7 linked regions of the Sus scrofa genome follow. The protein of the gene in region 1 interacts with the protein of each later gene in a pairwise test. Links are inferred from orthologs where the notes say so. Each region holds a gene or a part of one and is shown in the gene's direction. Other genes may lie near its edges. The genes, in order: MTUS2, TXN2, CTSZ, CDK18, RGS2, DDX6 and FCHSD2.

Region 1 (3,719 bases):
CTCTCCCAGCCTCTGGGCAGCACACCCCCACCAGGCCCCACCTCCCCCTCTCTGTTCGGTCTCTGTCCCCTGGACCAGCAGCGCCTCCCCAGACTGGGGCCGAGGGACTGCCAGCGGGTCAGGGGTTGGCCGAGAGGCTCTGGGAAGGCAGAGGTAGTGGGATGAGTGGAAATCATGAGTCAAGCCCGGTTCTTGGTCCCTGGGGTCCAGCAGGACCCTGTTCTCCTGGCACACAGCCACCGTCCCCTCCCTTTGCCCCGCACCCCTGGGCCGGCAAAGGTCAGGTTAAGTGCCTGCCGGCGTTCTTGCTACTTGACCGCTGCTTCCTCTCCCCGTGCAGACAGCTGTCGGAGGAAAACGCTAATCTGCAGGAATACGTGGAGAAAGAAACGCAAGAGAAGAAGAGATTGAGCCGAACCAACGAAGAGCTGCTTTGGAAGCTCCAAACCGGGGACCCGACCAGCCCGGTTAAACTGTCCCCCACGTCCCCTATTTACCGCGGCTCCTCCTCCGGGCCCTCCTCTCCCGCCAGAGTCAGCATGACGCCAAGATGACGCCACCACGCTGCGGGCGCAGCCCCGGCACCCGGTCCACGAGGGCTCCCACTTGCGGGGAGCAGGGACCACGGGCCGGCGGGGCTGGCCCGCGCGCGTGCGCAGTAGCTGCAGAGCTGCATCCTCTGCGCGCATGCCCCGTAGCTGCACAGCCGCATCCTAGGCAGAGCCCTCTTCTGACCCTCGTGTAAGACTGTCCTGGTGTTGGCACTTAGGAAAGTGTAAACGGTAGCGTCTGGCGTGCAAATGTTTGGCAGTAGTTAGAGCCAAAAGAAAGGAACACCCATTGTTCTTGAGCGATGAACTTTCACTGCAGAATTTCAGGTTAGTTACAAAGAGCTCGGTTTTGAATATCCATTGACTAATCATCCTGTACCGCACCGATCTGTGTGTACATTTAGATACACGTATATACACATGCAGCAGTTCTGAATCGCATTTTTTATAACATGAAGTGCTGACATATTTTGGTGAAGGTCAGCAGTTTTCTAACTTGTGCCTAAGAATTATTGGGAAACGAAAATGCATTTCTATCTAGCTTCCCAGGAATATTTCTACCCAAAATAGTAAAAGGAAAAAAAAAAAAAAAAAGATACACAGAGAAGAAGCGCCTTTCAACCTACCACCACGTGGTACTCTGTTTAACACAAACACCAGCCATTCGTGAACGGTAACTGCCTTTGGAACAATCAGCTTCTTAGTCAATATGACGTGAGGTCACTGTCACTCCATCTGCAAGTTTTAATGATTAACACTGTCGTGAGTGGATAAGGGGCAGCCGTGGGAAACCCTGAGGGGTGAGCGGTTTTGCAGATGGCACTCGTGACAGTGGATCATCTATGGTCTTGTAGACACAAGTTTTGCTTTTTTCTTAAATGGCATTTGGAATCTATCCTTAAGCTACTGCATCCTTGAGAAAACACGGAAGCCCATGATCTTAGAGAAGGAGGGTGAGAATGACCTTGGAGTCGGCCCAGACCACGCACGCTCCATCCTCAACAAGGAGAGCTGCTGCCAGGGTCTGTATTGTGACGAAGCAGGGCAGGAGCACATACTCTGGCATCCTCTTCACTTCGCTCGGATGTGATGCTGAGAATGGCCACCCCACTCAACCATGACCCTCGGCTCCATGTCATTGTCCCCCCCACACACACCTTTCGTTTGGTTGTGAAACCCAACCTCATCCCTGTACATTGAGATGCTCAGGGGCTCTAGCAGGGGCTTCCAGCAAACCAGTCCTCCTCAGTTCCAAGCCATGCTACGTCATCACGTGACTCCCAGAAACCCAGGTGTGTTTTCTGCTGGACGATCAAGCAAGGCCACAGCAGACAGTGGTCCCACTTGGGGCCCAGGAGGTTCTTTCAGAAGAGCCCCGACTGAAACAGCCAGCCTAGCGCTGCTGGCTTCTGGACTGGCATCTGTCGCTGAAACGGTAGCATTAGAACGTGAGAGATACTCCTGTAGTGCTGTGGACGATTAGCAGCATGACCCACGAAAGAAAGAAGTAGGTTCAACGTTGATACGCTGATGATAACGATGCCTCTGTCTACTGTGTGTGACAGAGCCCCTGCCCTTGTCTCCCGAAGGCCCCTGGAAATGGTCCTGGGCACGGGGCTGCCTCCGGGCACACCCGAAGCAGGCGGACTCACTGAGGGATGCCGCTTGGGCCAGAGCCATGGGGCAGGGAAGAAAGGGCCCTCAGAAGGCGTCCGCGTGCCCAGAGCCTGGCCTGCTTGGGGATGTGCGGCCTGCTCTGTGTTCCCCGAGTGACACACAGTTGGGCTTCCGGCCTGACATGCATCTCATTTCTAGCCCATCTCCAGGTCTCTGCCCACCCCGAGGACACACACAGGAGATACCCATTGACGAAACATTTCCATTTCCCGTTAGTGGCTCTGCATGACGCTGTGACACTGAGCTGGGCATTCCATTAGAGTAGCTCATGCCACACTGACGAAATACACAGATACTGAGTTCTTTCTGCAGGCACCACCTGCAGACACAGGTTCGGCAGTAGCTCAGCCTCCGGATTAGGAACTGCTTCCGTAACGGCACCTGCTCAACGCGGTTACCCAGCAATACAGATTTCAGTGTGATGTTAGCACGTGGTCCGGTGTGTTAGCCTCGTGCAGTCCGTCGTCGTGCTGTTAGAATCCCTCACCAGGTGGACTCGACCTTGGCTCTGGCCAGCCCTGACCTTGGCTACTCGAGCTCCCTCCCGCACTGCCCTGGCTTCGTCTCCTCGTCACAGACGCCCGTCTTGTGTGGCTCCCATCCCGGGACACACGAGGGGCAGCAGCCACGGCGCCCCTCACCCCGCACACCTTTGGGACCTGGACCCCTGGCGACGGGGACATCTCCCTGGCGTCTGCCTCCCGGGCTGGAGCTGCTGCCACGCAGAGACGCGGCAGCCTCCCCCACCTGCCTCAGACACACGCAGCAAGCCTCACCAACCACTTCTTGGCGTGTGAGCCCCTGTTGGAGCCCGGCCGCCCCCAGCCCACCCCACACCCCAAGGAGGTTCCTGCGGGGGCGGGGGAGAGGCTGGAGGCCCACGCACTTGGGGATGATGTGAACGGGGTCCCTCGGTCCTTTTCGGGCCCCTCCGGTTTCTGTGTTGCCTATCTGTGTTCGAAGCATATTAAAATGAACTTGAGGGACCTTCTGTGATACGCACTTGGTGTGACCATTGGCCTGGCCCGCTCAGGCTTCAGGGGGGCAGGCGGGCATGCGTCTGAAGCAGGGAGGCTGAAGGGGCTCCGCAGGCTGGGCTCCTCGTGTGTGTGCCAGGTCAGCTGGTCACTGGGTCTCGCCCTCCCCCGACCCCCATCGCTCTCCCAACTTCGCAGGACCAAGGTCGCTGCCTCGTCTTCCCAGCCTGGGGCCTTCAGCAGCCCTGCTTGGATTCTGGGGGCTCAGTGGCCCTGCCCCCGGCCCACACCCCATCCCAGGCAGGCTGGGGTGGGCTGGAGTTTGTTGGGCAAAAGACACAAAAGATTGAGTCCAACCCCCAACCACCCATTTCAAATTCCAACGGTGACCTGTTTCTACCCGAGCGAGCCTGGCCTGTCCTCGGTCGCGCCGGTGTGCGTCTGGGCACAGAGCTCTCCCCTGACAGTGGCCGCGGCGGGCCCTCCTGGCAAGGTGTCTGTGCCACAGCACTTC
Region 2 (4,119 bases), on another chromosome or scaffold:
TTAATGCTGCTCAAGAAGTATGAGTAGGTGTTCTACCGAGTGGACATAGAAAAAAGGCTTTCAAGTTAAGCAAAGGCAGGGAGGAGGGAGAAGCATTGATTTATTCATAGAACCATAAGAAGTTATGAGTGGTTGTAAGGTCTTAGAGCCAGATTTAATCCCTCAAACTGCCGACTCCCTTATCTTGTTCAACCAAGAGCAGCCTGTTCTGGAATGATGACTGCCCTAACTGCATTTTGTCTTTGCTAATCTTCAGTTCCCACCATATCATGGAACATTGTTACAACCCCTCACCTCTCCTCCTACCCCTCCCATGTAGCCTGATGCCAGCCCTGACACTGGTTACTTTAGCCACAAGCCTCTATAAAACCTATTCCCCCGCTAATACCAGGGAGCCTGTGCTTTCTCTCAGTGCTTCTGGCCATCTTCTGTTCAGTAAACCTACTTGAAGCCTCAACGCTCTGGACTCTCTGCCTCTATTTCTGCTCTGAAACCCCACAGCCCTTTCCTGCTCTAACATAGGTAAAGGGTGCAAGGGAGACAAGGGGTGGCTGTGAGACCAGCCTGAGACACACAAATGCCTAGACTCCTGTTGTCCATGACAGCGACAATGGGTGAGAAAGGAAGGCCCAGGCCCAGGTAGATTCAGGGATCATCACACTTTGCCTGGGGCCTCAGAGGCAGGCCCTCCAAGTATCACTACCAGTTGGCATCTTGTCTGGGCCCAGTTTCTCAGCAATCCCAAAGAGACAAGGGTGGAAGACAAGCTGAGCTTTTCATGTCACATTTTGGGAAACTGAAGTCCCCAAGGGCAGGAAGACTTGCTCGAAACCACGAAGTTATACAGTCACATATGACAAATACGAGTCAGCGTTCTCTGGACTCCCAACTGAAGTCTTTTGCTTCGAAGCGACATTAGGACAATGAGACAAAAGGGTGGACATGCTGGTCAGCAAGTGTTTGCAAACTCGAGGACCACGCCTCCCCACCGCCCTTCTCTCCGCCCCCCCCCCTCCCTGGCACTCCCGCCTCCTTCCCCTCCTCTTCCGGACCCTCCTCCGGAGCCCTCCGGCCTCTTCCTGTCCCTCCCCAATGATCCGCCCCTCTTCCGGTTCCTCCCCTAAGAGCCCGCCCATCTTCCGGTGTCTCTTTTCAAGAACGCTTCTCTTCCGGTCCCTAACGGAGGCTCCGCCCGTGCCTGCCCTCTAGTTGAGGACTTGCTCAGGTTGCCTTTCCCGGAAGTGACGCTAAGGCCCGCCCCTCAGGAAGTGACGACAGAAGTGCCCTTGACCGGTGGGGCGGGCCGTGCTGTGCGTCGCTTCGCTCTCGTTGCTGGGAGGTAGGGGCCCTGTGGGGATGGTTCGAAGTGGTATCGCGGCTGAGGCGCCTCTGCAGGCGCGTTCCCATGCAGGCCGATGGCCGAGCGGGCAGAAACCCTGGGTGGGAGGAACTTGCCATTCGGGGAGCCGGGGTTCCCAGTTCCTTCCACACACACGTCCCTTCTTTATTAATTCCCCCCCCACCTGCTCCCGTGTCACTTCGTTCCTATTTGAATTGTTGCTTGTCTTCTTTCCTGAACCTTTGACAACTCTCCTTTGTCTTTAATTTCCCATTAAAACTCCTTTTAAAAGAGTAATCGATAGAGTAAGGACTTTTCAGACTGTCGTGGGCTCTAGTGTCGACTCTCCTTTAATAATTGGGTTGCTTTGGATATGTCACAATTTGCTTGAGCTTCTAAGTCCTTATCTATAATATGAGCAGTAGTACAGTAGAAACTTCTTCATCGTTGATCTGGGAGGACTCTAATGCCTGTAAGATACCTATCTCTTAGCAGGTGCTCCATAAATATTGATTCCTTCCCCCCTTCCGTCTGTTGTAATTTCACCAATATCCTGCTTTTTGGGTTGTCGACCTAGTTTTCCCATCCTGGTTTTCGATTCCTTTTTCCCCTTGATTCTCATTCTTTACTCACTTTTCCTCCAGAAGTCTTATGTATTATTTCCCAACATTTTGTTTCTGGCCCTGCATCTTGAGCCCCCTGGTACTCCCACATACCTTTCTGATTTCTGGTGTGTTGACTTCCTGTTCTTTGCCCCTACTCTTCCTACCTCTTCCCTTCACAGATGGCTCAGCGTCTTCTCCTGAGGAGGTTCCTGGCCTCTGTAGTCTCCAGGAAGCCCTCTCATAGTCGGTGGGCACCCCTCGCTTCCAGAGCCCTGCAGACCCCACAGCTCAGCCTTAGTAACCTGACAGGAACACCCAGCCAAGCCCGGTCATTATACACTACCCAGGTCTGTACAACAACCTTTAACATCCAGGATGGACCTGACTTTCAAGACCGAGTTGTCAACAGTGAGACGCCAGTGGTTGTGGATTTCCATGCACAGTGAGTCCTGGGGGGGTCAGTAGAAGACTGGGTGTCACTTGTTCTGGTATTTATTGAGCACCTGCTATGTCTCAGTACTATGTTTGATGCTTCTCACATAGAGATCGGTGAGACCGAATCCCTTATCTCAAAGATTAGTGTAGTTTGGTAGGAAACCGACTAGTAGGAGTTCCCGTTGTGGCTCAGCAGGCTGAGAACCCAACTAGTATTCGTGAGGATGTGGGTTCGATCCCTGGCCTCGCTCAATGGGTTAATGGTCTGGTGTTGATGTGGCTGTGGTGTAGGCCGGCAGCTGTAGCTCCTATTTGACCCCTAGCCTGGGAACGTCCATATGCTGCAGGTGAGGCCCAAAAGAGAAAGGAAGAGGCAGACTAGTAAACAATCTTCAGTCTTCAGAACACTCCGTGGGTATTCCCATGGTGGTACAACGGCATTGGCAGCAGTTGTCTCTGCAGCTCCAGGCCACAGATTTGATCCCTAGCCCAGCGCATTGGGTTCAAGGATCCATCGTTGCCACAGTTGCGATGTAGGTCCCAATTGCAGCTCAGATCTGGATCTGATCCCTCCTGGGAACTCCATATGCCTTGGGGTGGCTGTAAAAGAAAAAAGAAAAAAAAGGAAGAAAAAAAAAGAAAGAAAAACTCCAAATAGTGCTGTGAAACAGTTATGTTCTGTATCTCACTGCCCAAGTGGCTCAGGTCATCTTTAGCTTGGACCAAAGCAGGAAAAATAAGGCTGTAGTATCATCTGGCTTTTGGTATATTACCAGTTCCTGACTCTGCAGATAATTGTGTTTAACATCTTGCCACCCAAGCGGAGAAGGGCTAGCAAAAAGTTGTCAGTTCCACTGATAAAAGTTAACAGTTGGGTGCCCAAGCGTGCACTGGATGGACAGGAGTTTCTTTCTGGTGCCCTGTGAGTTTGTTTAAAGGATATTTAAATGCCTATGGCATTCTGGTTGTCGGTCTGGCCTTTTTTTTTTTTTTTTCGGTTGTTATTGTTGTTGTTGGCCTTCTTCCTTTCCAGACCTTTGGAGCCTGGCTGGATGCCTGGTTCTAAAACTACTGGACAAACCTTTCAGAATAGGGCATCCTTGGATTTCCCGTGTGGCTTACGACAGAATGGGGCATCCTGAAATGGGAGCCTGAGTTAGAAGTTGGGAGACCTTGTGGGCAAACCACTGACAGATTCTTTTGCTTTCCTTCGCCTTCTTTCTCTGACTCACCATGCTGCCTTGGGCAGGCCATGTGATGACCTTATGCCTCCCTTTCTTCACGTGTGGTAGGAGCTAAGGTCTTGCAGACGGGGCTTTTAGGTGTTGTGAGTTCATTAATTGAAATCTCTGAATGCAGAGGGTCTTCAAAGCTGAGAATAAATTAGGAGTCACAGGGAGTTCCCGTTGTGGTGCATTGGAAATGAATCCGACTAGTATCCATGAGTTGGATCCATGGCCTTGCCAGTGGGTTGGGGATCTGCCATTGCTGTGAGCTGTGGTGTAGGTCAGAGATGCAGCTCAGATCCTGAGTTGCTGTGGCTGTGGTGTAGGCTGGCAGCTACAGCTCTGATTTTACCCCTAGCCTGGGAACCTCCATATGCTGCAGGTGCAGCCCTAAAAAGCAAAAAAAAAAAAAAAAATTAGGAGTCATCAGGCAGGGGTTGGTGGAAGGCAGAGCTGTCCTGCCCTCCTGGTCTGCTGAGCACATTGGAGAGAGCTTCCCAAATGAATGATTTGG
Region 3 (2,690 bases), on another chromosome or scaffold:
CAGGGGCACTGCCCGGGGGTTGGCAGCCAGGGTGAGGCTTCAGATGGGTAAACTTCAGGGAGTTCCCTGAGGCAGCTGTTATTTCCTGCGCCTACTCCGCGCCAGGCCATTCGTTCAGGCACTCGGTCTACGGCCGAGAGCGGAGGGCGCAACACCCTGGCAGGTGGAGCGCTGATGAGAAGCTGAGGGCCAGAGTTCGTGTGTCAAGTAGTGGCAGCTGGAGGGGCAGCGGGCTGGGGAGGGGCTGAGGGGCGGGGGGGGAGGCGGCCAGCGGGGGCTTCTGGGAAGGGCCCTGGGGAGGCCTGAGGACAGGGCTGGGCAAGGGGCGGCCGCAGGGGGATGCCGTGGAGGGGAGGCCGCCGGAGGGAGGGCTGATGACCTGCTGCGGGTTCCAGCAGGCAGGGGCAGGTGGCCTCAGGGGTGGGAGGGGCCCTGTGGTGTGGCCACGGGCTGTCGTCAGGGGAAGATCCAGTGAGTTCCGACTTGGAGGTGGGAGCAGCGTGGCTGTGAAATGGCCTTGGTGGCCCTGGGGGACTGGAAGGTGACGTGAGCGGCCCGGGGAGGAGGGGCTGAGGGCCGGTAGGATTCTCGCGCGTGACAGGGAGACAGGCTGGGTGCCCCTGGCCGCCCCGCGGGGGCTGTGGCCCAGGCACCGGGGGAGTGAGAGTGGGACGCGTCTGGCCCTGGTCTGTGGTCCGCGGTGCCCGTGTCCTGGCTCCACCACAGTGGGCACAGTACCCACCTCGCCCTGCCCGGGGGGCACTTGGAGCAGGTGACACGGGCATCAGTGCTGGGAAGGCCCAGGAGGCCTCTCTGGAGAGCAGAGCCCCCAGGGGACGCGTGGCACCTGGGGTGGCTGGGCGGGCAGTGCCAACAGGCTTGGGTGCTGCCCTTGCAGACAGAATCAACATCAAGAGGAAGGGGGCCTGGCCCTCCACGCTGCTGTCTGTGCAGCATGTCATCGACTGCGGCAACGCCGGCTCCTGCGAGGGGGGCGACGACCTGCCCGTGTGGGCCTACGCCCACCGGCACGGCATCCCGGATGAGACCTGCAACAACTACCAGGCCAAGGACCAAGGTAGGCCCCGGCCCTCCCCGCCTTCTCAGGGCCTGTGGCCAGGGCGGGGGGTGGGGGGGGGAGCGGGACAGAGGCCGGAGCCCCCTGCCCCTTAAACCTGGGGGCTGGGTCCTGTTGGGGAGGGGGTCTGGCCTGTGTGCTCCGTGGCCAGGCCCACACCTGCTTTTTGGGATCTGAGGTGCTGATGTTTGGGTGGCTTCACGGGCCTTTGTAAGGCGAATGCTTGTCCAGGGTGAGTTTTCCAGGAGCAGGCGGGCGGGGGGTGCAGGCGGGAAACGGGCAGGCTGGGCGGGAACATGGCCTCGGCCTGCTTCTTGGGCGTGGCTGGGCCGCAGCATCCAGGCGGGTTTGGGGCAGACGGCGCTGCGTGGATAGCGGATTCAAGCTGGCCAGGGATCACTGGGGTTGGCACACTCCTTTCAGGCCGCTCCCCTTGGAAATCAAAGGCAAGAAAAGGCTCAAACCCCAAACCCTCAATGGGCAGTTTGAGTGGCCTGTCCCTGTCAGCTATCTGAGACGGGAGTGGGGAGGCCCTGGGGGCTTTTCTGCTGGCAGGAACCCCCCCCCAGACTGGTTGAGTGGTAGAGAACCCACGGGAGGCGCCCATGATGAAAGGAGCGGCGAGGCATCCCTGCCCCCGCCCAGGGCCCAAGGTCAGAAGTCCTTGAGGCCGCTCTGCCCAGAGCCTGTCCTGGGGGCCCCGGCCAGGCCCCTCCAGCCCGCCGAGCACCCAGGCCGGGTGGAACACATTGGCACCTGCTTGTTTGCCCTGCGGAGCCTCTGTAGGAGCAAAGGCGGCCACAGATCCACCTGTCTTCAGGCTGCACTGGGCATTTGATGTGCCCAGGGATGAGTTAAAGCAACAGTTTCATCCTCGAGTTTAATGTCCCCAGGGAGGGTGTGGACTGACAGGAAACGGACAGAAATCGGTCACAGGGACAAAGTAAAAACTGGGGCCACAGGTCCGAGGCCGGATCGACCCAGAAAGAAGTGACACTGTCCGGGGTCCAGGAAGGACACAGGTGATGGTTTGGAGTCTTCCAGATGCTTTTTCTGTTTGTTTTGAAGCCTAAATCTTGATACCTCCTCAACCCCAAGTAAGAAAATGCTTGTTTTCTCCCCCCAAATGTTTCGTGCGACCTATTCACCAGCCAAGCATATAATCTCATGAAAAGCTAATTTAATGACGCTATTTTCAGCTGTAGAGCATTGTGGAAGGGCTTTGCCCTGGGCTGGAAAGGAAAAGCCAAGCTCCTGAGTGGCGGCGGCTACGGGCTAGTTAACGTGGGTCTTTCGGAGGCGGCTGGGGAAGGGCTCGCCTCTCGCCCCTGCAGCTGAGAGTCGAGCAAGCTGGTCTGGGTTCAAGCTGGTCTGGGTGCAGTGTGGGCCTGCCGGCAGGTGAATGAGGGACCAGCCTCACGCTGACGTTCCGCCCTGTCCCCCAGTGTGTGACAAGTTTAACCAGTGTGGAACGTGCACTGAGTTCAAAGAATGCCACGTCATCCAGAACTACACCCTCTGGAAGGTTGGCGACTACGGCTCCGTCTCCGGGCGGGAGAAGATGATGGCTGAAATCTACGCCAACGGGCCCATCAGGTGAGGCGCTGGCACA
Region 4 (4,130 bases), on another chromosome or scaffold:
TCGGCAGTTTTATTAGCATCCCTGGGAAATCTGTATGACCTGGCAGAGAAAAGAGATAAAGAGTTGGGAGCCCTTTGTGAGGTACCCCTGCCGACTACCAAGTCACTCTCCTAACAGGCTCAGTGTCTTCCTTCCTGCTCCCGAGTCCAAGCCCCGTGGAGTTGCGAGAGCTTGTGGATACAGGCTGATGTTGGAGGGCAAACCTCAGGCCCATGTCTTCCAGAAAGGAATTTTTCCTACTCTCAACAACTTGTTCTCCCTAGGGAAAGATGCCAGGCTCAAAGCCTATGACTTGAAGAAAGGCAGTCACTTCCGAGCAATCGTCAGAAAGGGTTCAGCAGAAACCCATCCACACAGCGGACCACGCCTCCTCAAGAGATCCCTGCCAGGGCCCCCAGTCTGCAGAGGCCACACTCATTGGCGACCAGCGACCATGGAGCTCCCCGATTTGATGCCCATCAGATCCATGGCACCATCTCCTCTCCTCACAGCCTTCAGGAGGAAGCAGGGCTGGGAGGGGCTTGGATGGGCTATTTCATCCCATCTCAGTTTTCCTTTGATCCCTGAAGTCCGATGACGGGGGTGGCGTGGCCATTGGCCTCGGTCCTAATCATGGCTTGCCACTAACTCCTCATGGGGCTTTGGGCCAGTCCAATACCCTTTCTGGGCCTCAGTTTCCCCTTCTCTAAAATGAAAGCTGGGCTGGCAGTAGCTAGTCGGTAAGGCTTCTTGGATGATTAGCACTTGGTCTGTGGGGCTTATTTTGCAAAAGGACAAACTGAATTACTTGTCGAGGTAGGAAGTGGGAGTGATGGCTAGAAGTGAAGCTTCCTCCAGGCCCTGGAAAGGTGGGGTCAACTAGGTGGGAGCTTCCTCCCTAAAGGTAGGTGACAAATCCCACTGGACAGGGGGAAGGGAGAGCCCTGCCAGGACTACTGTTGTCAAGAGCTCTAAAGGCAAAAATGACCAACAGGACCTGTCTGTGCACATTAGCTCCTGGGGTGCCAGTCGCTGGGATCCAGGATCAGACTCAGAAGGGAGGTGAGCTACACGTAGAGACGGACACAGCAGACCAGCCCCTGCCCTGGCCCGGGTCCTGGGTGCCCCAGTCGGGAGGGCTTCATCCCTAGTCACGGCTCTCAGGGCCAGTCCCGCAGGCCAGGCCTAGGAACGAAACCGGAAGAGGCACTTGGACCCTGGTTCCCAGAGTGGGAGAAAGGGTGGGCACCCGGGCAGAGGGAGCCCCAGGGATTGGCAGCGGCTGTGGGCAGGGCGGGAGGGACGGGGAGGAGTCAACTTGTACGTGTGAAAAACTCTGGCGGGGGCCGGGCTCTTCCCTTCCTCCTCCTCCTCCTCCTCCTCCTCCCCCCTCCCTCCTCTTCCCCACCTTCCTCCACCCTCTCCCTTCCCCTCCCCTTCTCCCTCCTCCTCCTCCTCCTCCTCCTCCTCCTCCTCCTCTTCCAGCTCAGGTTGCAGCTTCTCTGGGGAGCCGCTCACCTTTCCGGAGCAGGGGAAGCCGCCCCGAGCCCGGGCAGGGACCCCAGCAGGGCGCAGGGCACAGAGCCCAGCCCCGCGGCAGCCCGGCCGTCGCGGGCGGGAGCCGGCGCGCCGCGGCCCCAGGACACGCGCGGTGAGTCCCGCGGGCGAAGCGCAGTGTGGGTCCGGCAGGGCGGGCGGTGCGCCGGGGGAGGAAGGGGAGGTCGGAGGAGGGGGCACTGTGGCGCCGGGGAAACGGAGCAAAGGTAAGCGGAGCGGCTCTTAAAGGCGCAGTTCTGCTTTTGCCCTGGGGCGGGAGGTTGGAGGGAAATACCAGGGCGCCGGGGGAAGGTCGGAGATCACGAGGCGTGAGGACAAGTGTGTTGGAGGGTGGCGATGCCTTGGCAAGGCCAGTCCCGGGTTCCAGGTGTTTAGGAGGGAAGGACTGTTTTGCATTCTCAGACCTCCCCCACCTCCTCCGCCGGGAGTCTCCACCGGGACTCGCTTTGGCCCCCCGGGCTCCTAGGAAGCAAAGTTTTTCCACCCCGCAGGGAAGCAAGAGCTTTCTAAGCGTCCTTCCGTCTGGGAAGGGCAAGGGTCAGGAGTCTCCGGTAATGAGAGAACCTGAGAAGGTGGAGCCAGATCGCCGCCTCGAGGGGCTTTCTGGGCTCTGGTGAACTTTCCAGAGCGCCAAGTTGAGGGCGGGGGGGGGGGGGGGGGAAGGCCAGGGTCCTGGAGGGTGAAGGTGGAAAGACAGGTGAAGCCCTGCAGGTTCCAGCGCTGGGGGCTGGCTGTGTGTGTGTGTGTTAGGGGTGGGGGTGCCGAGTGGGGGCCTCTGAGGGTTCCTGTGCCTCTTCTCTCCCTGCCTACCTGGGAGCCCAAAGGGGCAGTGCCATCCCCCAGCAGCCAGGAAAGGGTTAATGCAGCAGTGGGAAAGAGTGAGTGGCCTGTTTGGAGATGTGGCTTGAGAATTCTGCTCTCTGGGGGCCGGGTGGGGGGAGTTGGTGATGATCAGGAATCAGAAATCTGAAGTCGGCTGTGGGCTGGAGGCCTCGGTTCTCTCCCTGTTGTGCACACAGGGGTTTCTGGCGCTGTCTGCAGGCCTTGTGGTGGGGATCTGGCCCTTCAGACAGTGACCGATTTTCCATTGCTGCGGGTCGACACCCTGCTAGGCACCGGTGGCTTTGTTCCTCTTCTCTCTGATCCCATCCCGACAGCAAGGGTGGGAGAGTTGGGGCTGTGAGGAGGGAGGGTCTGCTCCCCAGAACCCCCACCCTCCACCCCCCAGCCCAGCCTTCAGCAGTTCCCCAGCTGTGGCCTGGGCCCTGTGACTCACTGACACCACGGCCTGCCCCTCCTGTGTCAGCACCCTGTGAGATTCGGCATGTTCCTTTGGCGTTTTCCACTGGGCACACAGCACATTCCTGGACGCTGGCCTGAGGGAGCAGAATCCTCGAGGACAAGGACGAAGCGCCTGGAATGTCTGGCTGACAGACTTGTCCTCAGAAACCCCCTACCTTTTGTCTGGCCTCCACAGAAGGCTGGGACACCCACCTTGCTTAAAGTTGCGGGGGAGGCGAGGAGGGCCCCAGGCAACCCCGGCTCCTGGGTTTGGGTCAGCATCCTGAAGGTGTTCTGGAGAGAGGGTCACCTTGCCACAGCAGAGCTACTGTCTTGGGTTACCCTGCCCCAGTCACCTCCTGAGCAGCTGGTGAGCCTGTGAGGCTGACCTCCCCCCCCCAGGCCTGCAACTTCGCAGCCCGCTAGGTGCCTTGCCAGGAGCCCTTATTCTTCCCAAACCTCTTGGGGTTTCCAAAGCCAGAGTAGACGTCAGTAAATTACATCTGACTTCTGAATGCCTTGGTGGCTACTGTTTATTGAATATCCACTGGGTGCCAAGCTGTGTGTTACACAGCTTTACAAAGTAGGTATTATCCCCATTTTATGATGTGGAAACAGAGACTCGGAGACGCCAACTTTCCCCAGATCCACATAGGTGGGATCCAGCCCACTTCCTCTAACCTCAGGCCCCCTGGCTCTCAGTCTCTCCCCGCTTAAGGGAGATCCCAGCCCACTCTGAAGTTGTCGAGTTCTATGTGGATCCTAGGAGAAGGAGGGAGGAGGGCTGGCTGAGTAAGGAGGCTTGCACTTGTCCTGTGCCAGGCAGAGCCAGGCTTGGGTCACAGGAGAGAGGGCACCGGATCTGAGGAACAAGTAGGTTCTTGGTCTGAGACCTTATAGGATGGGGCTGCCTGCCTGGGAAGCCTCCCCCTTGGGCCTTGAGATGGAGCTGCCTTTACAGCTGCATTTGTTTTCTCTGCAGACCCAGACTGTCCTCTGCCGACTGGGCCTTCCTGCGCCCAGGCAGACAGCTCCATGCTGTAGGGCAGAGCCTGGCCTGGCTCCTCCCGGCCCCTGTCCCAACCATGCCTGTACTTGCTGGGGTCACCTTGTTTTGTCTGAGTTTAGGAACTAAAGGAGAGGGCCAATCGAGGCCCCTGGTGGAATCCAGCTCCAGCAAGTACTCCAGCAAATTCCTGAGCTTCTTCCAGCCTCAGTTTCCTCATCTGTGAAATGGAGATCATCATATGATTGGTTGTTATATGAGTTCAACGAAGTAACACACAGTGCCTGGCACACAGTAGATGCTAAAT
Region 5 (4,226 bases), on another chromosome or scaffold:
CTCCATAGCTGAGTACATGGCTGTTCTCTTTAGTAATAGAAACGTTTTGCTCTCCAAGTCAATCCTGGAGCTCCAGCTACTGGCAGCTCCTCATCAGAATATGGTAAACCAGTTCCAATTTTCTTTTAACAGTTCTAATGCAAAGGAGAGAGAATTCTGCAGCCTAATACCTTGTGGTTCATCTCCCTGCTACTTCGATGCTTGGCAGGAAAACCCCTTGAACATTCCACTGCACAGATCTAATAAAATTGTTCGCTATCCGATCACACCGGGGTTGAGGTCACCTACTCGTCCTTACCAATCAAACCGTTTAAATCGTGCTACAGCAGGACAATTTCTGAAGAATTTAGCAAATTAAGCTCCTTCAAGCAAACTGTTAACCTAGCCTTCCCTCCACCCCCACCTCTCCTTTTTGCCAAGTAAATGTTCTGGTAAATTCTAGGCCGACTAAGAATGACTCATGAGGAAATCCTGCATCTTTGCATTCTTACACTAAAATGACAGCTGCGAGGTCCTGGTGTTTCCCTCTACGTCCTGAGAAGGAGATCTGTGACTTCCCCGTGTGTTCCCTAAGGACAAGCAGCCAAGTACTCCAGAGGAGGAGCACGCAACCCCAAGGACCGACCCAGCCTCGTGTGTGTTGGTGACTAAAACTGCACACCCAGGTAAAGCACTTCTTCTCCTGTTCCTTCCCCTGACCGACGACGTCCCTCCCAAACGTTCTCCAAGTTGTCCAGGGAAGCTGCAGAGCAGGTCACACCGCCCGCCCCTGCGCCGCCCCCCCTTCTCCCTTTCCTTCCGCCAATGAATCGGTGACGAAAAGAGGAGCAGGTGAGCATCTCCCCGCGGCCTCAGTTTACAGACCAAGAAAGGAGGCGCGGGGAGAGGGTGTGCGCTCCAAAAAAAGAGGGAACACATCCGAATTCAAAACCGAGTAACTGCACTCAGGTTCCCAGCAAGTAACCTTGACCTGCTGGGGACTCCCCCCTCCCTTTGGGGTCCGGAGCAAGTGCGCGTGGGGGAGGGGACGGAGGCGAGGAGGGGGAGGGGCGGGCGAGCGCCCCGCGGGGCCTGCAGCCAACCCGCCCCACGCCTCCCAAGCTCTGCCACCCCGCCGGCCGCCCCAAGCCGGCAGAGGCCTCCGGCGGCTGCCCGAAGGGAAACTCCTCGGCCCCCACCAGCAGCCCCAGCGCCTCGCCGCGGGGGGCTCGCCTGCGCACGACGCTGCGGCCGCAAACGTCAGCGGCGCCCTCCCTTCCAGACCCTTCGGCGGTGCCCGGGACTGCGCAGACTCCGCCCCAGGCCCGGAGCCAGCCGGCCAATCGGCACCCGCTGAAGGCGGGCCCAGCGTCGTGAGGCGCCGCCCACGAGCCTCCGACTCTTATAAATACCGCGGCGCGCTCCTGGCAGCAGAGAGCGGGCACCCGGGAGCGTAGACGATAATGCAAAGTGCTATGTTCCTGACTGTCCATCACGACTGCGGACCCATGGACAAGAGCGCAGGCACCGGCCCCAAAAGCGAGGAGAAGCGGGAGAAGATGAAGCGGACCCTGTAAGTACGGCTTTCTTCTCTCCCCTGCCAGCCCCGCGGACCTAGCTGTCCCGGGCGGCTGCAAACGCGGTACATCCGCGCTTGGCTTCCACCCTGGAGCGGTGCCTCCATCTCTGCAGGGGAAAACATTGTGTAAAAGATACACTTGCTAGGTAGGGTTAAATCTATGTGGTGGGTCCTTTGTGATGTAACCGAAGGACTCGAGGGTAGAGTCGAGGAACTGCGGCAAATTCGTGATGCAGAGGCGGTGGTAGATGAGCTGAGGAATCGCAGGTTGGGTTTTTATCTCCCCGCATCGAAAATGACACCAGAGAATCCTGCAGCCCAGGCGCGTCCCCAGCATTCGTACGTTGCATTGTAAATTCTCATCAACTTACACAGCTGCTGGGATGGAAATATTTTTGCTAGCTCTGAATATATTATTTTAAAATCTTTTTTTTTTCCAGTTTAACAACAGATCTCACCCACCCAGCACTAAGGAACAAATAATTGTTCTGCATCATCTGGTTAAAATGGGTGTTGTAGTTGCGATCACACACGCGCGCACACACGCACACGCACCTCACCTCATTGTTCACAGCTTCTAGAGTGGTCCAGATCCTCCTGCTCTAAGGGTGGAAGGGAAATACCCATGGCTGGCTCCGGGCAGTTCCACTGTCCGTTTCATCAAGTGTGAAATGTCTCAGAATTGTAATTAACATTGCAGAACTGCTGCTGCCTTTTGTGGGCCAGAAATAGCATCTGCCTTTTGAACTATGCCAGCTAAATTCATTAAATACCCTATAATTGTAGGTTATCCTACGCGTAGTTATAAAACTAGCAGTTATGTTCAGATGAGTAGATGAAACTGTTCCAGGCATAGGTGCTGGGTTTATATTTTAAAGGGGTAAGACTGACTTGAAGGAGGACTGTTTTGTCTTACTTCGTTGTCTGTAGCTACTGGGAGTGACTTTATTTGGTTTAAAAAAAAAAAAAAAAAAAACCTTTAGCTGCAGTGGTGTGGCCATTTCAAGTGTTGGCACTTAGTAAAAGTCTTTTTTTTTTTTTTTTTTTTTTTCTTCTTTAAGATTAAAAGATTGGAAGACCCGTTTGAGCTACTTCTTGCAAAACTCCTCCTCTCCTGGGAAGCCCAAAACCGGCAAGAAAAGCAAACCGCAAACCTTCATCAAGTAAGTTGAAAATCTCAGTCCTTGCAAAGCTAGGCCACCAGCTGCTGAACAGAAGGGGGAAACAGACAGGTGTGAGCTGACATGTGACCGTCTCTTGCAGGCCTTCTCCTGAGGAAGCACAGCTGTGGGCAGAAGCATTTGATGAGCTGCTAGCCAGCAAATGTGAGTTAACCCCTTGAATTTGGTCCTTTTCAAGGAGCCCAAGCGTCTAGAAAGGAGGAGCATCCGGCCCCAGGGAGTTTGACTTTACTGTCTCCAGCATCTGAGGCCTGTTTCTTCCCCCGCCGTTTCCCGGGGATTATCCCTGGAAACGCAGGGCTTATTCACTCCAGGTGGGACGCAAAATCAGCGCCAAACTGGAATGGCCCTTGGTGTAAGCTTGAGCCAGCTTTTCCATTGCATACAGTGTTCTCAAGAGGCTTAGTTCACACAGAGAACCAAAGCTCCCCCGTAAACGGCTGGGTCAACAGCAAAGCTGAGCACAGCAGGGCGCCACCTTAAGCATTTTGCAGACTGGCATCTTCGTCTCTGAAGAGCTCAGTTCTAAAGCGGGAGTGAAATCTAGAAATCTTGCTTTCATCTAGAGATAAGAAAATTAGGGGGCCAGGGCCAGGGAGGCCTAGGAGAAAAGTGAAGGGATTATGAGGTCCCTCAGTTCACGTTCTTCATGCTTCCTCTCCTCTGCCCCCCAGATGGTCTTGCTGCATTCAGAGCTTTTTTGAAATCTGAATTCTGTGAAGAAAATATTGAATTCTGGCTGGCCTGTGAAGACTTCAAAAAAACAAAGTCACCCCAAAAGCTGTCCTCCAAAGCCAGGAAAATATACACTGACTTCATAGAAAAAGAAGCTCCAAAAGAGGTAAGGAGGAAAAAAAAATGTCCTTGTTTCCGTATCTGTTGAACATTCTTAGCACCAGAGTGAAACGAAAGAATAGAAGAGTCCTCAAGCTAAAAGGAGGGGTAAATATTTTCCCCTCTGGCTTTCAGCGAGATGAATGACCTTTCTACGGGGGCGGCTGGGGCACCTCTTCCGCCCCTCATGGTTTTGGAGGTCTTTTGCTTGTTCATTTGCTTTCATGTATCGCATAGACGTCAGTCTCCACCTCTGAATATGCAGTAAACCGCTATTTTTGTTTCATTTCAGATAAACATAGACTTTCAAACCAAAACTCTCATTGCCCAAAACATACAAGAGGCTACAAGTGGCTGCTTTACAACTGCCCAGAAAAGGGTGTACAGCTTGATGGAGAACAACTCTTATCCCCGTTTCTTGGAGTCTGAATTCTACCAAGACTTGTGTAGGAAGCCGCCGCAGATCACCACAGAGCCCCATGCCACATGAGATGGAAACGGGAGCCCCGCAACGAGGACATTGCTTTTTTTCTTTTTGTTTCCTAAGGGGAAAGGCTGTCACCTGCCGAAAAGACTGACCTTGAATTCAGCCTGGGTGTTGAGGAAACATCACTCAGAACTATTGATTCGGAGTTAGTGAGTCAGGAAGCCAG
Region 6 (3,500 bases), on another chromosome or scaffold:
GGACTGGAAAAGGATAGCTTCTGAGTAGAAAGCTGCTTATGGCAATGTGCATGAAAAGTTATGCCAATAATTTGCAAATACTTTAAAGTTAATGAAGTGAATAAAATTAGGTTATATTAGAAAATATGCTAAAGGGTATTATGGCACCAAATTGGAAGATCTAATGGAGTTTTTTGTTTGTTTTTTAGATTTGTTTACCCGAGGTATTGATATACAAGCTGTGAATGTGGTAATAAACTTTGACTTCCCAAAGCTGGCAGAGACCTATCTCCATCGAATTGGAAGATCAGGTGAGGAAAAGGAAGATGTTCTTTGTGGAACTTTTTGAGTTTAACCACTAAATTTTGTTCCTTTTGTGAAGATGTGTGTGATAGCAACTAGAACAGTGAATTAAAACTAATTTAGCTGTTTGGTATATAAATATATGACTAGGGAGTTCCCGTCGTGGCGCAGTGGTTAACGAATCCGACTAGGAACCATGAGGTTGCGGGTTCGATCCCTGCCCTTGCCCAGTGGGTTAAGGATTCGGCGTTGCCGTGAGCTGTGGCGTAGGTCGCAGACGCGGCTCGGATCCCGCGTTGCTGTGGCTCTGGCGTAGGCTGGCGGCTACAGCTCCGATTAGACCCCTAGCCTGGGAACCTCCCATATGCCGCAGGAGCGGCCCAAGAAATGGCAAAAAGACCAAAAATAAATAAATAAATAAATATATGACTAATTTCTATTTTTTCCAAAATATCTATTAGAGGTAAAATAACTTTATGCTTACTTTGAGGTAAAATTCTCAAATGAGAATCTCACTTGTGTAATTGTACTGTTGAGCATGTATATTTTGGCAATTTTTAACACAAATGAGCACCCCTTTTTTCACTTGAAAAAGTTAAAATAGAAGTACTGGAGTTCCTGTCGTGGCTCAGTGGAAGTAAATCTGACTAGTATCCATGAGGATGCAGGTTTGATCCTGGGCCTCACTCAGTGGGTTAAGAGATCTAGTGTTGGCATGAGCTGTGGTATAGGTGGCAGATGTGGCTCAGATCCCATGTTGCTGCAGCTGTGGTGTAGGTCCAGCTCCAGTTGGACCCCTAGCCTGGGAACCTCCATGTGCCCAGGGGTGTGGCCCTAAAAAGACAAAAAAAATATATATATATATAAAAGAAGTACTACTGGAGGCTGTGAAACCTGAGGTTACTATAATGTGTTATAAGGGGACCATCAGATCAGGGTTCATATACTCAGAATGGCCCCCAAAACTTTAACCCTACATAGTTTTACCACTTACAGACTAGTGCTTGCACATTGATCCTCACATTTAATTTTTGTTAAATAAAATTTTTTGTTAGGTCGCTTTGGTCATCTTGGCTTAGCCATCAACTTGATCACATATGATGATCGCTTCAACCTGAAAAGTATTGAGGAGCAGCTGGGAACAGAAATCAAACCTATCCCAAGCAACATTGACAAGAGCTTATATGTGGCAGAATACCACAGCGAGCCTGTAGAAGATGAGAAACCTTAACAAGTATGTGCATACCTGACAGAAGAGATAAGTGAGCATAATGTTTAATAAAGGAAAGAAATGAAGGTCCTTTTTCCTGGGGGAAATTTGATGTCGTACTGTATATAATTAGCAGTGAAGGTTGAAACACCTCTCAGCATAAATGACAGTAAACAGGAAGTATCTTGGTTGAAGTTGTGGTCTTATTGGAGAATCTATAAATTCTATTTTTGAATTGCAGTCTTCCTAAGTAATGTAGTATGTGTGCAGTACTTGAAACAAATTCAGACTTCTAAAATAATGAAAGCAAAAAAGAATCTTAGCAATTTTGAGTATGAAAACATCTTTGCTGTTATCCTCTGTCACTCAGTCCTCTCTGTTAGTGTTCACTCTTAATTTTGAATGAATACCTTAATAAATCAGGTTAAATTACCTATAATTCCTCATTGCTAAATGAGTAATCAGGTTGTGAGGATAACTCCTATTTTAAATACCCACTCTGGTTTTCTGCACCTACCCTCTCATCTTGGATTCTGGTAGAAATATGCTCAAAACAAGGCTTGTCATACATAGCTCCCTGATGGCTCAGCAGGTAAAGAAACCATTTGTCACTGCTGTGGCTTGGGTTTAATCCCTGACTCAGATATTATAGCATGCCGTGGCCACCCCCCCCCCCCCAAAAAAACCCCTAAAACAACAAGACTAAATATAGAGGAATGAGGGCTGCTTTGGAAGTTTTTTGTTTTTAAGGAAAATCTAATTTGAGAGACAATAGTTTACAAGTTAGCAGTGAACATTTGATCTATTATTTTTAGATATTTCAAATTACTCTCTTCACCTTAACCTTTTTCTCCTAATTAAAAAAATTTTTTTTCATAAAGTATTGGTTGATTTACAATGTTTTAGTAATTTCTACTATACAATAAAATGATTTAGTTATACACACACAGACATCCATTCTGTTTCAAATTCTTTTCCCATATAGATGATCACAGAATATCAGGTAGTGGTCCCTGTGCTCTACAGCAAGTCCCTGTTGGCCAGTCTTTTTTTCCCCTAATTTAAATGTTAAACACAGAAGTCTCAGACGAACATAAAACTAGCTAATGAATGTTTGAGTTGAGTTCATGTAAGGCTTTGAAAAGTTAAATTTGTTGTGGGTGACTACTGCCTATTATCAGAACTTTCAGGCTTTCATTCTGTCTCTGGCATGCTTAGCAGAAATTCCTTAATCCTGAGTGGATTCTGTAATAGGCAAAGGCTCAATAGGAGCTGTTGTAGAGAGCATTTAGGATGGGGGTTGTGAACATCTACATATCTGAGTTCATGTTGCTTTCACAACATTAATTTTAGGTTTCTTCCCTTTTTCCTTTAGGCTTTGTCAAACTACAGAAGGCTCGTTTGGATCTCTGACACATTGTTTTTGGGGGGATACTCTTCTCTTTGTGGGTTTTTCATCTTCTTTTATTTTGGAACTATGAAGACTTAAAGGAGCTCATTTTTTCTTTTTTTTAACTGGTGAAGAGAAAAAAGCTGAAAAGGAGTTTACCTTTTTTGTTCCACTTGTTTGCACTGTGTGCTGACTGAACATTAGTTGCACTAACTGCTGGTTTTTTTAATGTTTTCTGGGGAAGGGGGACAAGGAAGGAGAAGAAAGAAGAGAAGGGGAGAAACCCTAAAAAGAGAAGAATCCTAATGAACACAAGCTTGTCTACGATTTCAGAATTCTTCAACAGCTGACTCTTGAGTGCATTTCAACTTCTCCCTGGTTACTCATCCGTTTTTTAAGCCTGAAGAGCTTATTACTTATTTGTGCGAAGTGCCTTATGCTATGAGACCATTCAGAATATCATCTTTTAGACAGAGCCCGAGGAATCAACAATAGTAATTTTTTTTTTCTTTAAAAAATTTTTGTCTTTTCATTTTGGTTTCAAGTTGAAGTCTTATCTCTTCCCTTTCTACCTGATACTCAAGCCCAGGGCTGGAAGATGAAACGTATTAGTAAATG
Region 7 (4,169 bases), on another chromosome or scaffold:
GAATAAATGATGTATCAGCGAGCATTTAAGGCCCTGCGGTAGGAGAAGTTCTAATTAATACAAAACGCCTGTGAAGCTGGCACTATTTCCCCTTTTTACAAGTGAGGAAATGAAGGCTGAAAGAGGTGAACTGACTAGGTCAAGGTCTCATATTAAGTTGATGGTGGAGCTGAGACTGGAGCCCAGCTTGGGCTCTAGCTGCTGGCCCCACAGCTGTCAGGGAGCTGGGCCTCCACCACCTGTTCTCTTGCCCCAGGCCTTGCCCGATAGTAACTGAGGGCTCTGGGGAAGGTCTCACTTTTGAATGGCCTCGAGGAAACCAGAAACAGCAAGTCTGGTCTCCCAACTCCTACATAGCCCTAGATTAACCTGACTCTAGTTATTAGCATATCTCTAATTCTATCACCTTCCTGTACAAGAATCTAGGCTAACAATGCCAACAATCTAGGTTTACATCTTCCCAATTTCTAGCCAAGTGGCTTTGGGCAAGTTCCTCGGGTCTTCCTAGGGCTTCATTCACTTTCCTCTTTTGCCTGACTACTCTTCTGAGAACAGGTGTTTGAGACCCCAACTTCTGATAAAACTGGGGTTCTCTGATTCGCCCTTCACCCAGACCTAGAGGCTCCGGAAGAGGTGTTTTCATTCCTCTAAGGACATCAAGGGAGGCTGAGAGTCCTAACCTCTGATGGTCTGGATGGAGGAGTAAGGTGGGATGGAGGGAGCTGCCTGGTGAGCGTCCTCACGGGGCAGATGAGGGAGCCTGAGTTCGCCCAGCCAATCAGGGGCAGGCAGATCGACTGGCATCCTGACTTCCATTCAAGGGCTTCCTGCACTGACCCTGCCACCTCCTCTACTCTTCCTCATGGTTATCATCTGCACCTGTTTTATAACCCATGCAACGCTTAGTTACCCACCCAGTCTAGCCCTGTTGTGTAACCTTCAGAGAGTCTCCACTCCTCCGGCCTCAAATGGAGGTCCTGGCTCTAACGACCTCGCGGTCTTCTAGCGCAGAGTCTGTGCTCATGACTTAGACGCCCTGCAGCAGAGAGGCAATTTTTTCTCCGCAGGGCAACTAGACGTCCCCGCTCCCGCCCAAACCAGGCACCCGCAGCAGCCGCGAAAGGACTTGTCTGCGCCCGCCCCTTGGTGCCTTGGCCGGCCAGGCTTATCCCGCTGGAAGGGAGGGGGGTGTTGCAGCGCCGAGATGAAGCAAAGAACGGGACTCTCCTACTGCTACAGACATACAGACATGCTGCCCGCTCCCCACAGCAACACCCGCTCTCGCTCTTTCTCTCTGTCTCGGGCTCAGCAGGTCTCAGCCGCCCGCAGGAGGCACCGGCGGCTTACGCGCGTGCGTCGGCGCAGAGCCCTCGCCTGCCCACGTGCGCGCCCCCGACCGCAGGCGCGCCGCGGCGGGCGGGCGGGAAAGCGCGCGGGAAGCCCCCGGCCGGCTCGCGGAGTGGGGGAGGGGGGCCAGGAGGCGTCTGGAACGTGCCATTCTCGGAGAGAACGGGGGGGCCCTCGGGCTGCGGTCGCGTTTCTACCCCTCTGAGTCGCCGATCGATCCGTTAGCTCCCCCCGTCCCTCGGCCCGCGATCCGGAGCCCCGCGCCGCGGCCACGCTCGCTCCTCTCAGCCTGGCCCGGCCCTAGAATCCAGCTCCGGCCTGAGCTGTCCCTTCCGCCGCCGGAGTGGGGCGCTGCGTCGCGCGCTGGGGCCGGAAATTCCCGCGGCCTGAGTGGAAGAAGCGAAGCGGAGAGCGCGGCGCCGCCTCCCACCTCCCCCGGCCGGGCGGGGGCGTTGGGCCCAGCGAGGGCCGGGCCGCCTGAGTGGCGGCAGGGGGGCCGCGTCCGAGGAGCCGCGGAGCGGGCGGCGGGCGGGGAGCCTCGGCGGCCGGGAACCGGACGACGCGGCCGCTCGTCGCGAGCTGCTCGCGAGCTGGGAGACCCTGCGCCCCCGCTCCCGGGCCCCGCCCCCTCGCGGTCCCCGCCTCCTCGCCTCACACACCCCCGGGCCGCCGGAGCCCAGGCCTTGCCGGCGCTCCTCCTCTTTCTCTTTACACTCTGCCCGCGACCCGGGTCCTCCTGCCGTCCGCCGGCCTTGCTCCCTCCGGGCCGAGTGCTGGTTCTCAGGCGCTGCTTACCGCTCACGCCGGCTCTCGGGGCCGCCCGCTCCTCTCGGCCCTCCTTCTCCCTGCCTCGCCAACGCCGCCGCCGGAGGAGGATTGATGTCCCTTCAGCATCATGCAGCCGCCGCCGAGGAAGGTGAGGATGCAGCTGGGGGTCTTTGACGGTTGGGAGGGGATGGGCGCAGGGAACGCGGCTGGGGCCACCGCCGCGCCCCCTCCCCCTTTGCGCCAGGGGCTGTGACCGCCGTCGTCTCGGGCTTGTCACTGAGTTGCCGCCGGCTCCTGGCGGGGGGCGCGACGGAGGGGCGACCCGGGCTGGTCCCCTCGACCGCGCCGGAGACCCCCTTCTCGACATTGCCCTGGAGTTTCGGTTGTGCATTTGGGTGTGTGTGTGTGTGAGCGCGCATGGCAGTGCTGCTCTCTGCAAAGTGTTTTCTCGGGGCTGCGCCGAGGGGAGGTGGGGGAGCCCCTGCAGCTTTGCGGAGCCTGGTGCTTGTGTGATTGTTTAGTCTGCACCAGGTTTAAGCCCTCCGCCCGCCTGTCTCCACCCTTGCCGGTTTCCAGATTTACAGGGAATTTGTTTCCAGCCTAGCCTTAAGGTTTGGCCCACTTTTCCCACGGGGCGACCGAGAAGAAGTTGCAGTGGTCACCCGACCCCAGGGTGAAACAAGCAATGAAGCATGGACCGGCCTGCCTTTCTTTTCCCTATTCCTGCCCCGCCCCTCCGACTCGGGTGCGAGGAAGGTGGTGGTTCTGCCCCCCGGAGAGCGAGAACCGGGCCGAGCGTGGCGTGGGCACCGCGATCTGGGCTCGGGGTGGGAGTGACGGGTGTCAGTAGCTCCTCCGTTTTGCCCTTCCAGAACTCTTTCACTGCCCTCTTGCCCAGTTTTCCCAGGGACTGAGGCGGCGTCCTTGTCTTTTAATCCTGCAGGTTACTGAGTGTCTCCTCCGGGCTCTGGGTGGAGGAGGCTGTTCTCTCCTCCCCTTGTGGGCAAACATTTGCTGAATGCCGAACTCACTGGTGTCTGCTGCGTCTTCTTTCTCATTCTCAACCTGGGTTTTCCAGTGAAGGGAGTCTGTTCCTTTCACACACGTCCTCTCACCCCTCCCGTAGCCCCGATCTGGCGGTGGGGGTTCCAGGCCCCCTGCAACCTGGATCCGGGCCTGGCTGGCGAGGCACTGGCCGGCTTGCATGTGCTGTTCTAGCTGTTTGAAGTGAAAACGCCATGGGGACGGGCTTGCCGGGGTGGCTGAAAAGCACGGCATATGCTGGAAGGTCACTTTTGCTTTCTCCTTTGTGAGAAAAGAGATTGCGATTTGATGTGCTGTCAGCGAGTCCGGGGCATCATCCGGAGAGTGTGCTTTCTGAAGCCATTATGGAATCATTTACATAGTTGATTCAAGGTATAATTTCATGATTGTGAAAATTTCCATCATTAGATATGAGGTATTTGTATGGCCCCTTCTCCCACCCACACTCTGCTCACCTCTCCTGGTTGGTTAATGTCTGAATCCTTTTTGGAGAAAATAGATGACAGACTCTTAAAACTCTAAGACCTAACTGTATATTGAGCATTAAGTACCTGCCATAAACAAAATTAGATGGCTCATAATGGATTTATGGTCCTCAGGGGAGAAGCAAGCAAGAGTTATATATTCTGACAAGTATTAAGTATTTTCCTTAAGAGATTTTTTGTTGTTGTTGTTAAAGTTTCAGTAAGGCCTCATAAATATATGATATGTTTTAGGTGAAAGTTACACAAGAACTGAAAAACATTCAAGTTGAGCAGATGACAAAACTTCAAGCCAAACATCAAGCAGAATGTGATTTGCTTGAAGATATGAGGTAAGGTTATAGTAAATAGTTTGAGAACTTCTGTATCTCTGTTTAAAAGAACCTTTGAGTTCCCAAGCCCCAGGAACTGAAGATGGAATTTCCTTTTGAATTTCCTGCTTTAAGGCCGTTGGAGCTTTGACTCAGCTAGAAATTATAACTGGAACTAACACAATACAAACTTTTTTTCCATTAGTGGAGAAACCCA

What was found.
Region 2: the proteins of MTUS2 (region 1) and TXN2 interact in binary tests that used the Homo sapiens proteins (3 or more experiments, as listed by UniProt). The two-hybrid records come from large-scale screens. The link is inferred for Sus scrofa from reciprocal best matches to the Homo sapiens genes MTUS2 and TXN2.
Region 3: the proteins of MTUS2 (region 1) and CTSZ interact in binary tests that used the Homo sapiens proteins (3 or more experiments, as listed by UniProt). The two-hybrid records come from large-scale screens. The link is inferred for Sus scrofa from reciprocal best matches to the Homo sapiens genes MTUS2 and CTSZ.
Region 4: the proteins of MTUS2 (region 1) and CDK18 interact in binary tests that used the Homo sapiens proteins (3 or more experiments, as listed by UniProt). The two-hybrid records come from large-scale screens. The link is inferred for Sus scrofa from reciprocal best matches to the Homo sapiens genes MTUS2 and CDK18.
Region 5: the proteins of MTUS2 (region 1) and RGS2 interact in binary tests that used the Homo sapiens proteins (3 or more experiments, as listed by UniProt). The two-hybrid records come from large-scale screens. The link is inferred for Sus scrofa from reciprocal best matches to the Homo sapiens genes MTUS2 and RGS2.
Region 6: the proteins of MTUS2 (region 1) and DDX6 interact in binary tests that used the Homo sapiens proteins (3 or more experiments, as listed by UniProt). The link is inferred for Sus scrofa from reciprocal best matches to the Homo sapiens genes MTUS2 and DDX6.
Region 7: the proteins of MTUS2 (region 1) and FCHSD2 interact in binary tests that used the Homo sapiens proteins (3 or more experiments, as listed by UniProt). The two-hybrid records come from large-scale screens. The link is inferred for Sus scrofa from reciprocal best matches to the Homo sapiens genes MTUS2 and FCHSD2.

The regions. Positions count from the first base shown.
Region 1 is NC_010453.5:6,531,815-6,535,533, forward strand, and holds the end of MTUS2 (microtubule-associated tumor suppressor candidate 2), read left to right. Parts: intron 1-340; coding exon 341-554; 3' UTR 555-3,219; downstream 3,220-3,719. UniProt on the Homo sapiens protein: Binds microtubules. Together with MAPRE1 may target the microtubule depolymerase KIF2C to the plus-end of microtubules. May regulate the dynamics of microtubules at their growing distal tip.
Region 2 is NC_010447.5:11,263,320-11,267,438, forward strand, and holds the start of TXN2 (thioredoxin, mitochondrial), read left to right. Parts: upstream 1-1,319; 5' UTR 1,320-1,356; coding exon 1,357-1,395; intron 1,396-2,123; coding exon 2,124-2,386; intron 2,387-4,119.
Region 3 is NC_010459.5:59,143,688-59,146,377, reverse strand, and holds part of CTSZ (cathepsin Z precursor), read left to right. Parts: intron 1-898; coding exon 899-1,078; intron 1,079-2,523; coding exon 2,524-2,674; intron 2,675-2,690. UniProt on the Homo sapiens protein: Exhibits carboxy-monopeptidase as well as carboxy-dipeptidase activity. Capable of producing kinin potentiating peptides.
Region 4 is NC_010451.4:66,174,209-66,178,338, forward strand, and holds the start of CDK18 (cyclin-dependent kinase 18), read left to right. Parts: upstream 1-1,330; 5' UTR 1,331-1,630; intron 1,631-4,130. UniProt on the Homo sapiens protein: May play a role in signal transduction cascades in terminally differentiated cells.
Region 5 is NC_010452.4:937,284-941,509, reverse strand, and holds the start of RGS2 (regulator of G-protein signaling 2), read left to right. Parts: upstream 1-1,426; 5' UTR 1,427-1,442; coding exon 1,443-1,552; intron 1,553-2,619; coding exon 2,620-2,721; intron 2,722-2,821; coding exon 2,822-2,883; intron 2,884-3,413; coding exon 3,414-3,580; intron 3,581-3,865; coding exon 3,866-4,063; 3' UTR 4,064-4,226. UniProt on the Homo sapiens protein: Regulates G protein-coupled receptor signaling cascades. Inhibits signal transduction by increasing the GTPase activity of G protein alpha subunits, thereby driving them into their inactive GDP-bound form.
Region 6 is NC_010451.4:46,029,337-46,032,836, reverse strand, and holds part of DDX6 (probable ATP-dependent RNA helicase DDX6), read left to right. Parts: intron 1-188; coding exon 189-290; intron 291-1,337; coding exon 1,338-1,513; 3' UTR 1,514-1,516; exon of another isoform or gene 1,517-1,544; intron 1,545-2,867; 3' UTR 2,868-3,500.
Region 7 is NC_010451.4:7,606,027-7,610,195, reverse strand, and holds the start of FCHSD2 (F-BAR and double SH3 domains protein 2), read left to right. Parts: upstream 1-1,369; 5' UTR 1,370-2,242; coding exon 2,243-2,263; intron 2,264-2,678; exon of another isoform or gene 2,679-3,531; intron 3,532-3,875; coding exon 3,876-3,973; intron 3,974-4,169. UniProt on the Homo sapiens protein: Adapter protein that plays a role in endocytosis via clathrin-coated pits. Contributes to the internalization of cell surface receptors, such as integrin ITGB1 and transferrin receptor.